Linked DNA regions of Caenorhabditis elegans. The protein of the gene in region 2 interacts with the protein of the main gene of each other region in a pairwise test. Each region holds a gene or a part of one and is shown on either strand. Other genes may lie near its edges. The genes, in order: elt-2, F21A9.2 and mab-5.

The links.
Region 1: the proteins of F21A9.2 (region 2) and elt-2 interact in a two-hybrid assay, tested with the Caenorhabditis elegans proteins (one large-scale study listed by BioGRID).
Region 3: the proteins of F21A9.2 (region 2) and mab-5 interact in a two-hybrid assay, tested with the Caenorhabditis elegans proteins (one large-scale study listed by BioGRID).

Annotation. Positions count from the first base shown.
Region 1 is NC_003284.9:10,479,160-10,482,916, reverse strand, and holds the start of elt-2 (Transcription factor elt-2), read right to left. Parts: upstream 1,678-3,757; 5' UTR 1,677-1,677; coding exon 1,535-1,676; intron 1,485-1,534; coding exon 1,386-1,484; intron 1,343-1,385; coding exon 1,216-1,342; intron 1,172-1,215; coding exon 1,031-1,171; intron 937-1,030; coding exon 768-936; intron 723-767; coding exon 625-722; intron 579-624; coding exon 205-578; intron 41-204; coding exon 1-40. UniProt on the Caenorhabditis elegans protein: Transcriptional activator that binds to the consensus sequence 5'-[AT]GATA[AG]-3'. Predominantly directs the transcription of intestinal genes such as ges-1, cpr-6, pho-1, ftn-1, vit-2 and lev-11, and itself.
Region 2 is NC_003279.8:3,707,431-3,711,187, forward strand, and holds the start of F21A9.2 (C2H2-type domain-containing protein), read right to left. Parts: upstream 2,006-3,757; 5' UTR 1,791-2,005; coding exon 1,749-1,790; intron 1,352-1,748; coding exon 1,250-1,351; intron 1,062-1,249; coding exon 947-1,061; intron 789-946; coding exon 678-788; intron 632-677; coding exon 444-631; intron 398-443; coding exon 252-397; intron 1-251. Other genes in the region: F21A9.1 (PRELI/MSF1 domain-containing protein), read left to right, coding at 3,588-3,638.
Region 3 is NC_003281.10:7,781,723-7,785,479, forward strand, and holds the start of mab-5 (Homeobox protein mab-5), read right to left. Parts: upstream 1,733-3,757; 5' UTR 1,667-1,732; coding exon 1,523-1,666; intron 1,254-1,522; coding exon 1,171-1,253; intron 486-1,170; coding exon 382-485; intron 1-381. UniProt on the Caenorhabditis elegans protein: Transcription factor that binds to the promoter region of the transcription factor lin-39 to repress its expression in Q neuroblasts and thereby direct left Q neuroblast (QL) daughter cell migration.

The DNA.
Region 1 (3,757 bases), on a different chromosome or scaffold from region 2:
TAGTTTGTTGCTGCATACACGTAGTTTTGATCGTTTGGAACTGAAATAAAATAAACTTTGAAAAGCTTGAATATCTTAGAGGGCTTGAATGCAATATTATGAAGTTATGTTTTTGTTGTAATTAACGCTATCCACCATTAATACCATACTTTAAGTACTATTTCAAGGTTAGTAGTTTTCATTTTATAAAAGTTGATCACGTACCCATCATCAACCCAGCTGTAGCGGCAGTGTTCCATTGATAGTAATTACTGTACGTTTGATCTGGCAAGGTGACGGCAGCTGAGGAAACGGGATACAAGTCGGCATGTGACACATATGTGGCAGTCGCAGCTGCGACGGCAGCAGTGCTCAGTTCTCGGTCTGCTTTTGCACTTCCCGCACGCCGGTTAGATGACCTTTGAGCCTTTTCGGTCGAAGAAGAGGCTCTCTCAAACTTCCTTTCTCGGGCCCGTGACGTTGATGGTGTGGAAGAGTCTCCGCTTTTTGATTTTCTCTTTCTTGTCTGTAAAGCACCTTCTTTCTTCATTGAGGTCGGCCGAGGGATGTGATGGAGTTTGAAGTAAAGCCCGCAAGCACTGAAAAACAAACCATTAGAAAAAAAAAAAAAAAAAAAAAACTCACTTGCAGACCGGATCTCCTTCAGCATTTCTTCTCCAGAGAGTTGTGTTGGTACCATTGCAATTGGAGCACACAAGTCCCTGCCGACGGGACGCAGATCCCTGTATTGATTTGTTGTACACTGTTGCAAACGAACTTTAACTTACGTTTGACCCCCTATTTGAGCTACTTGACTTTTTAGAGGATTGCTTGGCAATTTTAGCAGTTGGCTGCTCTGAAGGTATTTCCAGAATCGGGGGTTGTCCCAAAGAAGTGCTATACGCGACTGGAGGAGAATACGTGGTTTTTGGTGTTGAACAGTTGACGCACATCATTCTAGAAAATTATTCGTTGTAGTTTATTTCCAAACAGTGTACAGGCACATATTAATCCGGTAGTTTATTGAGTCATCGAAATTTTTCTAGCTTACCCTCCGTTTACTGCCTTCATCCCGGCCCCACAACTTTGTGAGCATTTGACGCATTCGTAAGTTGGAGCCACAGTTGGATAAGTAGAAGGGATGTTAATGGTAGGAATACTGGGGTCGTACAGAGAGGGTTTGTCGTATATGCTAAAGTTTGAATATGAAAGTAAGAACTTGAAAACATGACTTACGAGTTTGTATATCCCGAAAAAGTTCCAAGAGTGTTTACGGGAATTCCACTGTAAAGAGGATAAAACGGTTGCATGGTAGTTTGGTCCAACATTCCAAAGTTTGAGTAGTCTATGCCAGTATGGAAAACTAAAAGGAAGAATTAATCCAAATAACTTGAATTCACACTTACATGATGTAACAGTTTCCACTTTCGGCTCATAGTTATTTGTGCCACTTGTGATAACACTTTGCCGTTCAATTGGAGATGCGTAATCATTATCAATTTTCACTGAAATTTTATAATTTTATAATCCACAAGCATTTCAGTGTTTTGTTTACTTCTCGGTAGTTCACTCAATTGTGACTCATTATTTTGCTCTGGTGGATCCATGTTCTGAGTTGGTAGGCGCAGACCTCCCATTGGTTGAGATGGTTCCATTTCGGCCCAGCCGTTGACATTATCATTGTAGTTATTATCCATTCTATAATCTATTTTCTAGTTTCTATTTTATTAGAATGCCAAGAAAATCAAGCATTTATACATCAAAACTTATCAATGAAAACAGTGGCACCTAAAACATCAAGCAGTTTAAAAATTCAAAAATTCAAAAATGCTTCGAGAAGTGTATTTTCTTAAATACTGCCTTTAAAATTAAAACTATTTGAAGACAATTTTCAGACGAAGATATTACAATTAACATTTTCTTGCTCATTCCAAAAATTAACTGCAAAAATTAATTAAAATAACCCATAAAATAAGAACACAAAGATGTTAATGCCATAGTAACTTAGAAGATATCAGTGAAAACAGTGGCACCTCGATAGCTGTTCAACGATAAGACTAAAAATGATTGGGAAGTATAGATAGGCTGATTTTATCAAAAAGAAAATTGTCAATGAAGGCACAAAGCGTATTGGTTTGAAAAGAAAGATGGTGTGCACACCGAGCTCGGTGTGCATGATGGCTGGCTAGCGATTATGGCGTTAGTGTCGACTATTCTTATCAGTTTCAGCCCCGACCTCTGTCGCTCATATACGCAGACAACCACCCACTTCCAGCCAAACATGGGACTCGGGTCCGCCCATCATTGCATGTACGGTAGTTGGTAATTGAAAAAAGTGGAATGAGGAAGAAAATATTGGTTTCAAAGTAGCGTTTATAATAACTACAAAAAAATCAACTGAGGAGACAATAAGTAGATAAAACAGGCGATCAGACTTTTGATGGATACATATATCCAATTTTGCAAACAAACTTGAAAATTAAATTGAGTTTTTGCGTTTTCACTGAAACTTTCAAACAAGTTGCAATGCAGCTATTAATACTGCACATAGTAATAGTCTTGCTTTAATTTATTGCCAGAACAGATGTATCTAGTTAAAATGTTGATAAATTACTATCCTTCACAGAGTGAAACAAAATCAAAAGCTTTCAAGAATTTATGGTAATTTTTTTTAATTTGATAAGGCATCATTGTCAAAACTTGAATAATTTGTCAAAAGCTAGATATTCAAAAATTAGTATTGAACCTCAATTACCCTACAAAGTTTATAGTGCTCACCAATTGGAAATAAGTTTTGAATACAATACTAATGGAGAAAATACGGCAAACTATACATTTTTAACTTTTCACTCATTAGTTTTCATATAATTTTTAAACTGTGATGTCACACCATAATTTTAAAGACAAGAAAACATACAAATACATATAATTATCAATAAATGATATTATTATAAAATAAAAAACGCATATTTGTGAGATATGAAAAGTACGCCCTTCTATGTTTTTTTTCAAGAATACCGGATCAAAGGGTACGCTTTTTGTTACACAGTGTGTTTTACGGAAACATATTCAACATTTGGAGGACAGTTCTGTCTCCAAAGCTGACCAGTTCAACATTCTTATAAACAAAACGTGATGCGACCTTCAAGTTGTCTGGAACTTTTGTGATTCGGGCAGGATAAGGAGTATGAAGAATACAATAATGAAAAATAAAACAAAAAAAGATAACCTGTAGAAAAATTGATAATTTTCAGTTTTTTTCGATAATCAGCCACACACGCACATAATATTACTTCACACCCCACAATATCAGATAATAATCAAAAATGATAAAATATATCTTTATACATCGATAACACAATCAAACTAGTGATAAATTGGTATTTCAAGATTTCAACCATATGCTCTCCGAACTGTATACTACAGTAATATTATTGGGTACAAGGTCTAAAAACATTAGCATGTTGTAAAACCACTTCTTTTGCTCTCATTTCTCAATGTTTGCGCTCAGTAAGTGAGCTTCTTTTGAAATGAAGTACGGTCGCCTTATCAGTTGCATGACGTTTGAGCCGATTCTTTCCTTTTTGTCTTCAAATTTCCTATTCAGCCAGCAAACTCGGGGAAGTCAAGGATGAACGTTTAATAGAGAAAAACTATGGGTGTTCTGAAACAATCAGTAAAAAAATTATCAGGACAAAATGGCAACATTATCGTTGAGAATGCGTCCTCGTATCGCCGTAGCTCAGAAGTAGAAATCAATTGAAGATAACATTATCAA
Region 2 (3,757 bases):
GTCCCATTTCGCTTTGATCTTCAAAAAATGGCGGGAGGAGAGACGCAGACATCTCATCTGATTTTGCATGATTAAGAGCATGCTGACGTCACATTTTTTCCGGAAAAAAATTCCCGCATTTTTTGTAGATCAAAGTGCAATGAGACTGTTTGACACCACGTGCAGGACCCCACATTTCGGGGCGGAGCGTTTTTAATTATCTGTGGAGCGCGCTTGCATAATAAGACTGTGTTGCAAAAGAAAAAACCAACTTCTCATCCAAATTGATAATAGGAATCTGCACGGAGAGTTTCGAAGTTGAAAAGTTTGGCATTTCCAATTTTCTCTTGTTATGAATGAGCAAAGGATTTGAGTTGATTAATGCCGAATTTCGTCCAATAGTAACAGGACCCACTACCTAAAAGTTCAATTGAAATTAACAACTAGCTTTCAAACTGAGTTACCTGAAAGGGATTCTGCTGAAAGAGGTCATGAAACGCCATTGGCAACAAAATAACATTTTGTTGTTTTCGAGAATCCGCATTTTCAACTACATTTCCGAGTTTCTTCTTACTACAGTACAAATCTTCATGAACTTTCAAATTGTGAAGGGAGTTGAATTTTGCCACGTGACAGTGTGGACATTCGTGTTCTGAAATTTCGAAATGCAGTTCTTTTCGAAAAGCAAAAAAGCTCACTTTTCTCCAACTTTTCTTGCTCCAGACGATAGTTCATATCAGCGACAAGAATGGCTCGAAGTGGCTCCACGGTCGTCAGATTTTTTGTGAAAAGAATTGTGAACACGGGACCTGAAACATTGGCCTAGGTGAAGTTGAAATTTCAAAAAAGTCGTTTGGTGGACTAATTAGTGAAAGCTAGGCAGGACATGAATTGTCTTTGAGTGCAAAAATATCCGTTTGGGTGGCCTAGTTTTCAATTTCTAGGCCATGTCGTGTGGCTCGCATACCTGTCTGCATAATGACACAATTAGCTAGAAGTGGACCTTGGGCTGCTTGAATTCTCCGCGTCACTGGATTCGATTCCATCTCGAAACCCATCGATTCACCGGTGAAGTTGGAGAGCTGGAAATTAAGGAGGTTCTACGGTGCATTTGTGCGGGGAATATGGTGTATTGTGTCTGTCGAATCAGAAGAATTCAATGCGCCAAAAGTTACGCGCAAATTTGAGAACCCACCGGTAGTCAGAATCCAGTTTTGATCTACAGATATTGCGCCAACTTCTATAACTTACAGTATATGCTTTAACTTACAGTAATCCTCAACAGTTGTCCATTGCCGCTCACAGAATACGGTCCAACACAATCGCCACATCTAAACTCGATTGGTGCGGTCATAACTTGTTTTCGTATTGACTGCAAACTTTTGATGATAATTCAGTCCTCAATATTCAACAAAAAAAGTTTTACGCGATGTGTAAATTTAATTTTCTAATTTTTTTTGCGTTATTTTTGTAATTTTGAATTTATATTTATCATCATTTCCCTATTCATTAATCAATATTTTTGTTTGTCAAATGTAGCGTTTTGGGTCTCGCAACGCTTAATTCTTTTGAGTTTACTGTACTGTAATTTCACCTTTCATAAGAAAACCGATAATAAAAATAAGAACAAATCAAATTTCAACAAGTTGTCAGAAAAAGGTGCAAGATAACATTACTTATTAGAAGAGCACACCTTTTTGCATTTCACAAAAATTTGTAGTGTCGAGACCGGGTTTGAAGCAAAAATCAAAAAATCTACTGTAACTCACGCTAGCTATTGTATTATGCAGAATCGATTGGTTTACATCCATTGTATATAAATGAAGTGGCCGAATGAGAAAACGAAAGAAGAGGCTTCCGACGAAGAAAGATGGGCTCGAGTGAGCGATAAGATCTCAGGGACAACGCGGGGCGCAGAGCAAGTTGTGCGTGCTCCGGCACTCCGAGTCACACAGATTTTGATGATAAGGTGAAGAAGAAGAAGACAAAAGGAAGATTGGGAAGAGCAGATGAAGTGACTGAACAACTGAAATAGATTGAATCTCCGGTTGGAATGAATATTAGATTAGTAGAGATTTGAGAGGAAAAGTTGAGTAGTGAACATTGCGCGTGAAATGTGATGCATTGAGTTGGCAGGTGCTTTAAGAGCAAAATATGAAATTTTAATAGAGAAAATCTAATGTTTTAAACTTCTGAATATTGCTTTGTTTTTGAAATTAATTATTTATGAGAATCTCCAAAGTACTGTCAGATTGAAGCCTTTTACCTTAGTGCATAATTTGAGCTACGGTAATTATTTTTTTGCGTATTAAATGTGCTTACACTTCAACAGTTTAAAGGTACATAGATGTTTCTAGAATATTTTCATAGATGGCTGATTCAAAATTAAAAGCTCTATATAGTAAAGTAATATTATAACATTGACTTTTGCCTACCGAATATCTCAATTATCGCCGTCTTCCTTACTGATCATTATCTACCCCAATTTTTATCTTTAATCAGTTACCACAATCTCTTATCATCTGTGATTCAGTTTAACTATACATGTAGGGATGTTCCCAGTTGTCGACTGTAGACATTTCACTAGGTTGAGGCGTGACGGGGGCGCCTCTCTCTCTCTCTCTCTCTCTCTCTCTCTCTCTCTCTCTCTTCGCCCTTCTCGCGCCCTATCCGTGCAATTCACTTATATACACGCTATAGCTATACAGCGAACTTTATTTTCTTCTTCTACGGTTTCAAAGGCGCACGTATTTATGCGAAATGGTCTCACCACGCGTTACTCATTAATGTTTTTTTTTTTCAATCAATGGGTTGCGCGTAGCGAGGCCATTCCGCTTAAATACGCGTTTATTTTTTTATCAATATAATATCAATTGGAATTATTTTAAATGAAAGAGAAAAAACCCCAAAGCAGAGTTCAAAAGATGTTCGTGCACGATCGTGTAGCAGCAAATCGGCGGCCGAGTTTTTTCTTTCATTTCCGCGGCCGCACAATAATCATGACGGTTTTACTGCATGACCAAGAGAGAGAGAGAGAGAGAGAGAGAGAGAGAAAATCTCGGCCATCAAGGTTTTCATGCAAAATTCAAGTTATCGACAGTTTCCGAAACGCAAAAACATGTGCCAATTTTTTCTCAGAAAAAAACTCACGAAAAATCAGGATAGTGCATACTATAAAAAATAAAATACTGAAAGTATGTATTCTCACAGTTCTCTCTAAAAGCCGCCACGTGGCAATGTCAAAAATTCAAAAGTGCCACCGGTTTTTTTCGAATTAAAACTCAAAAAAGTGATAAAAATGTATTATTACTGATGAAAATGTGAGGAAGAGGAAAAAGAAAGTGAGCCTGTGTGATATTATCATATCAGTTGAATTGAATCAGTGGAGTATGTGCTGATAGGGTTTCTTATCAGTTTCAACTAAAAAAACTAAACGACACCGATTGATTGCAAAACATCAGCTGATTGCAGATGTATGACGTGGCAGGAGGCACTGAAAAGCAAAAAAAGGTTCAGGAAATGTAGGAAAAAGGAAAAGCGGTGATAAAACTATAAAATATGAGGTAACCGGAAACGGGACAGAAGGATTGTTCAGAGAGGGTTCTACAATGCATCTTTTCACCGAATTCCTACTATTTTTTGGGTTTTTCTTAAAAATCGTAAGTTAGGAAAGATTCTGTGTTAATTTTTTTCTTGTTAATCTTAAGGTAGATCCAGAAAAACTGGACAACATTTTTTTGGTGTTCATTACAGTACCCAAGAGCATTTTTTATTCCTC
Region 3 (3,757 bases), on a different chromosome or scaffold from region 2:
ACCCAGCGTGTATCATAAATAAATCAAAAAATTCCGTCCTTTTCCCGCCGCGATTTAGAGAAAAAGGATCCAAAAGAGACACCGACTTGTCGCCATATTTTTTGTTTTTCTCCTTCTTTTTCTCTTTAATATTATACCGCCATGAAAGTCTGAAGATAAGAATCGAAAAAGTGTGCCCCTCTCTCTAGGACCTCCCCTCTTGCGCGCATGTCTATCTTCACACCTATTTGGCGGTCATTACCGAGTAACAACCAATCCGAAATTACATTAAAATGTAGAAGAATGACCCATATGTTTGTCTTGTTTTGACATTTTTATGAGATCAAATAGTGAAAATGGAAATACGAGTTTAAAAGTGAAAATGAGAAACTGTAAACTAACCGCCCATCTTCATCCATGGAAATACTGGTTGCGAGATTGCTGGCATTGAAGTTCTAGTTTCACCAAAATTTGCAGATGTTGCTTGAAGTGGGTTATAGGCGAATCTGAAAATATTTTAAGTTGGATCCTAAATTTTGTGGTAAGTTAATTCGCTTATTTGAATATGGAAAAAAAATATTTCGAATTTCCAAATACTCTTATTCATCATTTTAATATGTTTTTGTTCCTGTCTTCAAGGCGACCTTTGCCTGCCTTGTTGCTCTTCTGCACGCATCCTGCCAAAGTTCCCTTATTCAAAACTTCAATCATTAATTAAAATAAGATAATGAAAAACCTGTGAGAAATTTACAACAATTGAGTTTTCATTTGAAAATGGCTATAGGCTTGATGATCGAAAATTGCTTTTTTTTTATTATGGAAAAATATTAAAGATAAAATATTCATGTTGAAATTCAAATGCATTAGAGAGTGCTTGTAAATAAAATTGGAGTGAACATATTTTTTTAAAGAAATCCGAAATCTTTTAAACATTTCCGAAAGACATATTTTAAAAAAACGAACTCAATGTTTTTGTTGCAATGAAACTATTGATTTTTTGGAAACCGGACTGAGAACTTCTTTCAAAAACTGAAATTTAAATTTTCTTGTTGATTTTTCTTTGAATCAATGTTAAAAAGGAAGTTGTGAAACCTGGAACGCTTAGCAAAAATCTTAAAATTTTACAGCAAACTTTGTTTTATTTCGCAACATTTTTTTCTCGCTCCAAAAATTTTATTTCAAGAAACTTACGGATTTGATGAATTATCCATCCAACCGGCAGCAAGCATATGTTTCATATTGTTCATGTAGGTGTGATTGTAGAGTTCGTAGGTCTGAAAATAGTTTGAAGTTTAGTAATGGGACGTTGCGAAATACTTTCAAAGTTTTTCAAAACAAGGGTGAATATTTCTTGATATTTTTAAATGAATTTTTTATTAATTTTTTAATCTGGAAAATTTGAAAACTATAGAGTATTTTAAAAATTGAAATTCATTTTTGTAGGGTTTTCCCCATATTTTCCGTAATTAATTTTCGACCCAAAATATTTGAACTTATTTCAACTAAAACCTAAAATTTTTCATTTAAACTCTGAAACACACACTTTCAAATTATTGGCAGCAGCAGCAGCGGCAGCACTAGACGATGCTGAAGCAGATGTGCCGGATGATGCGGATTGAGAAGAAGCCGTTGTGCCGGCGCCCGCCCAGTACGAATCGTCGCCTGTCCATCCAGGATACATGCTCATTTGCCGACGGATTGAGTTGAGGGGATGAGTAGATGCGTGATGGAAGACGGCAAAAAGGTGCGGATTTCTGAAATTGAAATGGTAATTGAGGGGTGAGAATATGGGAAGATAGAGAAAAAGTAGGGAGCACGGAAGGAGCATGGAAAGAGCAATGAGAGCAAGATGGAGGAAAAAATGGTGCCATATAGAATACAACTTGAATAATTGAGGAAATAATATATCAGGTTTGTTTCAACGTCATAAGTATAAAGCCCATCTCAGTGAACACTAAATAAGATAATTTTTCAAATCAATAAGCACAATAATATGAAAATTAATTATGACACATTAAGCTGTAGAAGGCAAGTTTTTAAAACTGTTAAAAATAATATATGGTGAACAACTGATTAATATTGTTTTAAAGTTATCAAATGATCAATTTAAAAGCGTTTATTCTATAACTATTTAATACCAAAAGTTGCAATTTAAACTATTTCTGATATTATGAAATATTTTCTATACAGAATGTTTTAACATTACGTTTTTTTCTAAAAGCAACATATTCGACAAAGTCAGTAATACTAAAAATAAAAACAATTACAAGTAAATAAAATGTTTATTTCTAAAGCTAGACATTTGATAAGAAATATCGAGCATATTTAAAGTGAAATAAATTGTCTAATGAAATTTATTTTGTTTTACCTTCACTCTAGAAGTTTATCAATAAAAATGGTAATAATGACTTCCATTAAACCAAATAAGCATTCCAAAACCCCTACAGTACTCCTCATTATTTGATAATCATGAGGTTTGGTCTATAAATATCTTTTAGTGACTAATGTCCATTACATATTACCGTATCAATTTATCATTTGTCACATTATCAATCTTTAATGCCATTACATTAAGCCCTTCTCTCTCTCTTCCAGTTTCTCTTTGGAACCTAATATTATAAAGTATCCAATGAGTCCCGTAACTAAAAACCAATAAACGGGGCATTGACGCATTAATTAAGATATATATTCGAATATAAAGAAGAGAAATCAATCGGAGAATTGAAATATGTTGAGGGCGCCTGATGAAATATTGGTGGGGCCCCCCGGCGGCCGACTGGTCGATGCGAACAACGTGTGAATGGGCGGAGTCTCCGGGCGTTGACGGGAAATGGGGAAACCAATCGGAGAAATTGGGAGGAGCATGAAAAGACTGGGAAGGCAATGATGAGTAGCATTTTATGGTAGAAATCATAATATTTTAGTTATTAAGATTCCAAGTCAAGAGCTTCTATTTAGCATTTGGTTTAGATGTCATTTACAATGGCATTTGAGAGGGCTTATCCTACAGAGATGACATCTTATTGTAGATTTGTGAAAATTGGAAAATATGATTCAAATAATGAGTTCTGGCATTTAATTTTCGAATGAAAATAAAAATTTTACGAAATTAAGCAAAAGTATAAATTAAAAAAATAATTCGATTAGAAGTTGTCATTTTTTCAAAATTAATATGGTTTTTTAAAAAATTTGTTTGATATTATATATTTAAATCTACAATTTAAAACAAAATGCTATATCTGTATTATTCAAGTCCCGAACTTGAAAAAATTGAAGTCTTGCAGAAAATTAGAAAGGTTAGAAAATGACATTTGTATGTTCAATGTATTTGGAACTCTTGAAACAAAGTAATCAAAAGAATCAAATGAAAAGGATCAAAATTTCTAGAACCGATAAAATATTAAAACGTTAAAAAACGTATCTGTTGAATAATAATAGCCCTTCACTATCTGAAAAATTGATTAGTCGTGAAAAGAGGAGATGGGAAAATTATCGGAAAATTAAAATTTCATGAAATGAAAAAATTAAAGTTAAAAAATTTGTGCACCCATCTACCGAAGATGTACCTAGTTAATAGAAAAATCAAAAGAAATAATTAAAATATGCAAAAAAGAGTGAAAATCAAATAACAACTTAACTCCGACCGTTTAATGAGTCATTTGTGATTTGAGTACATAAATATAATTTTAAAACCTTCGTTACCACTTTCAACTTTTTTTCACACACACTTTCTTCCATAAAACATATTGTTTCTAAAGGAGCAGTAGCATTCAAATTC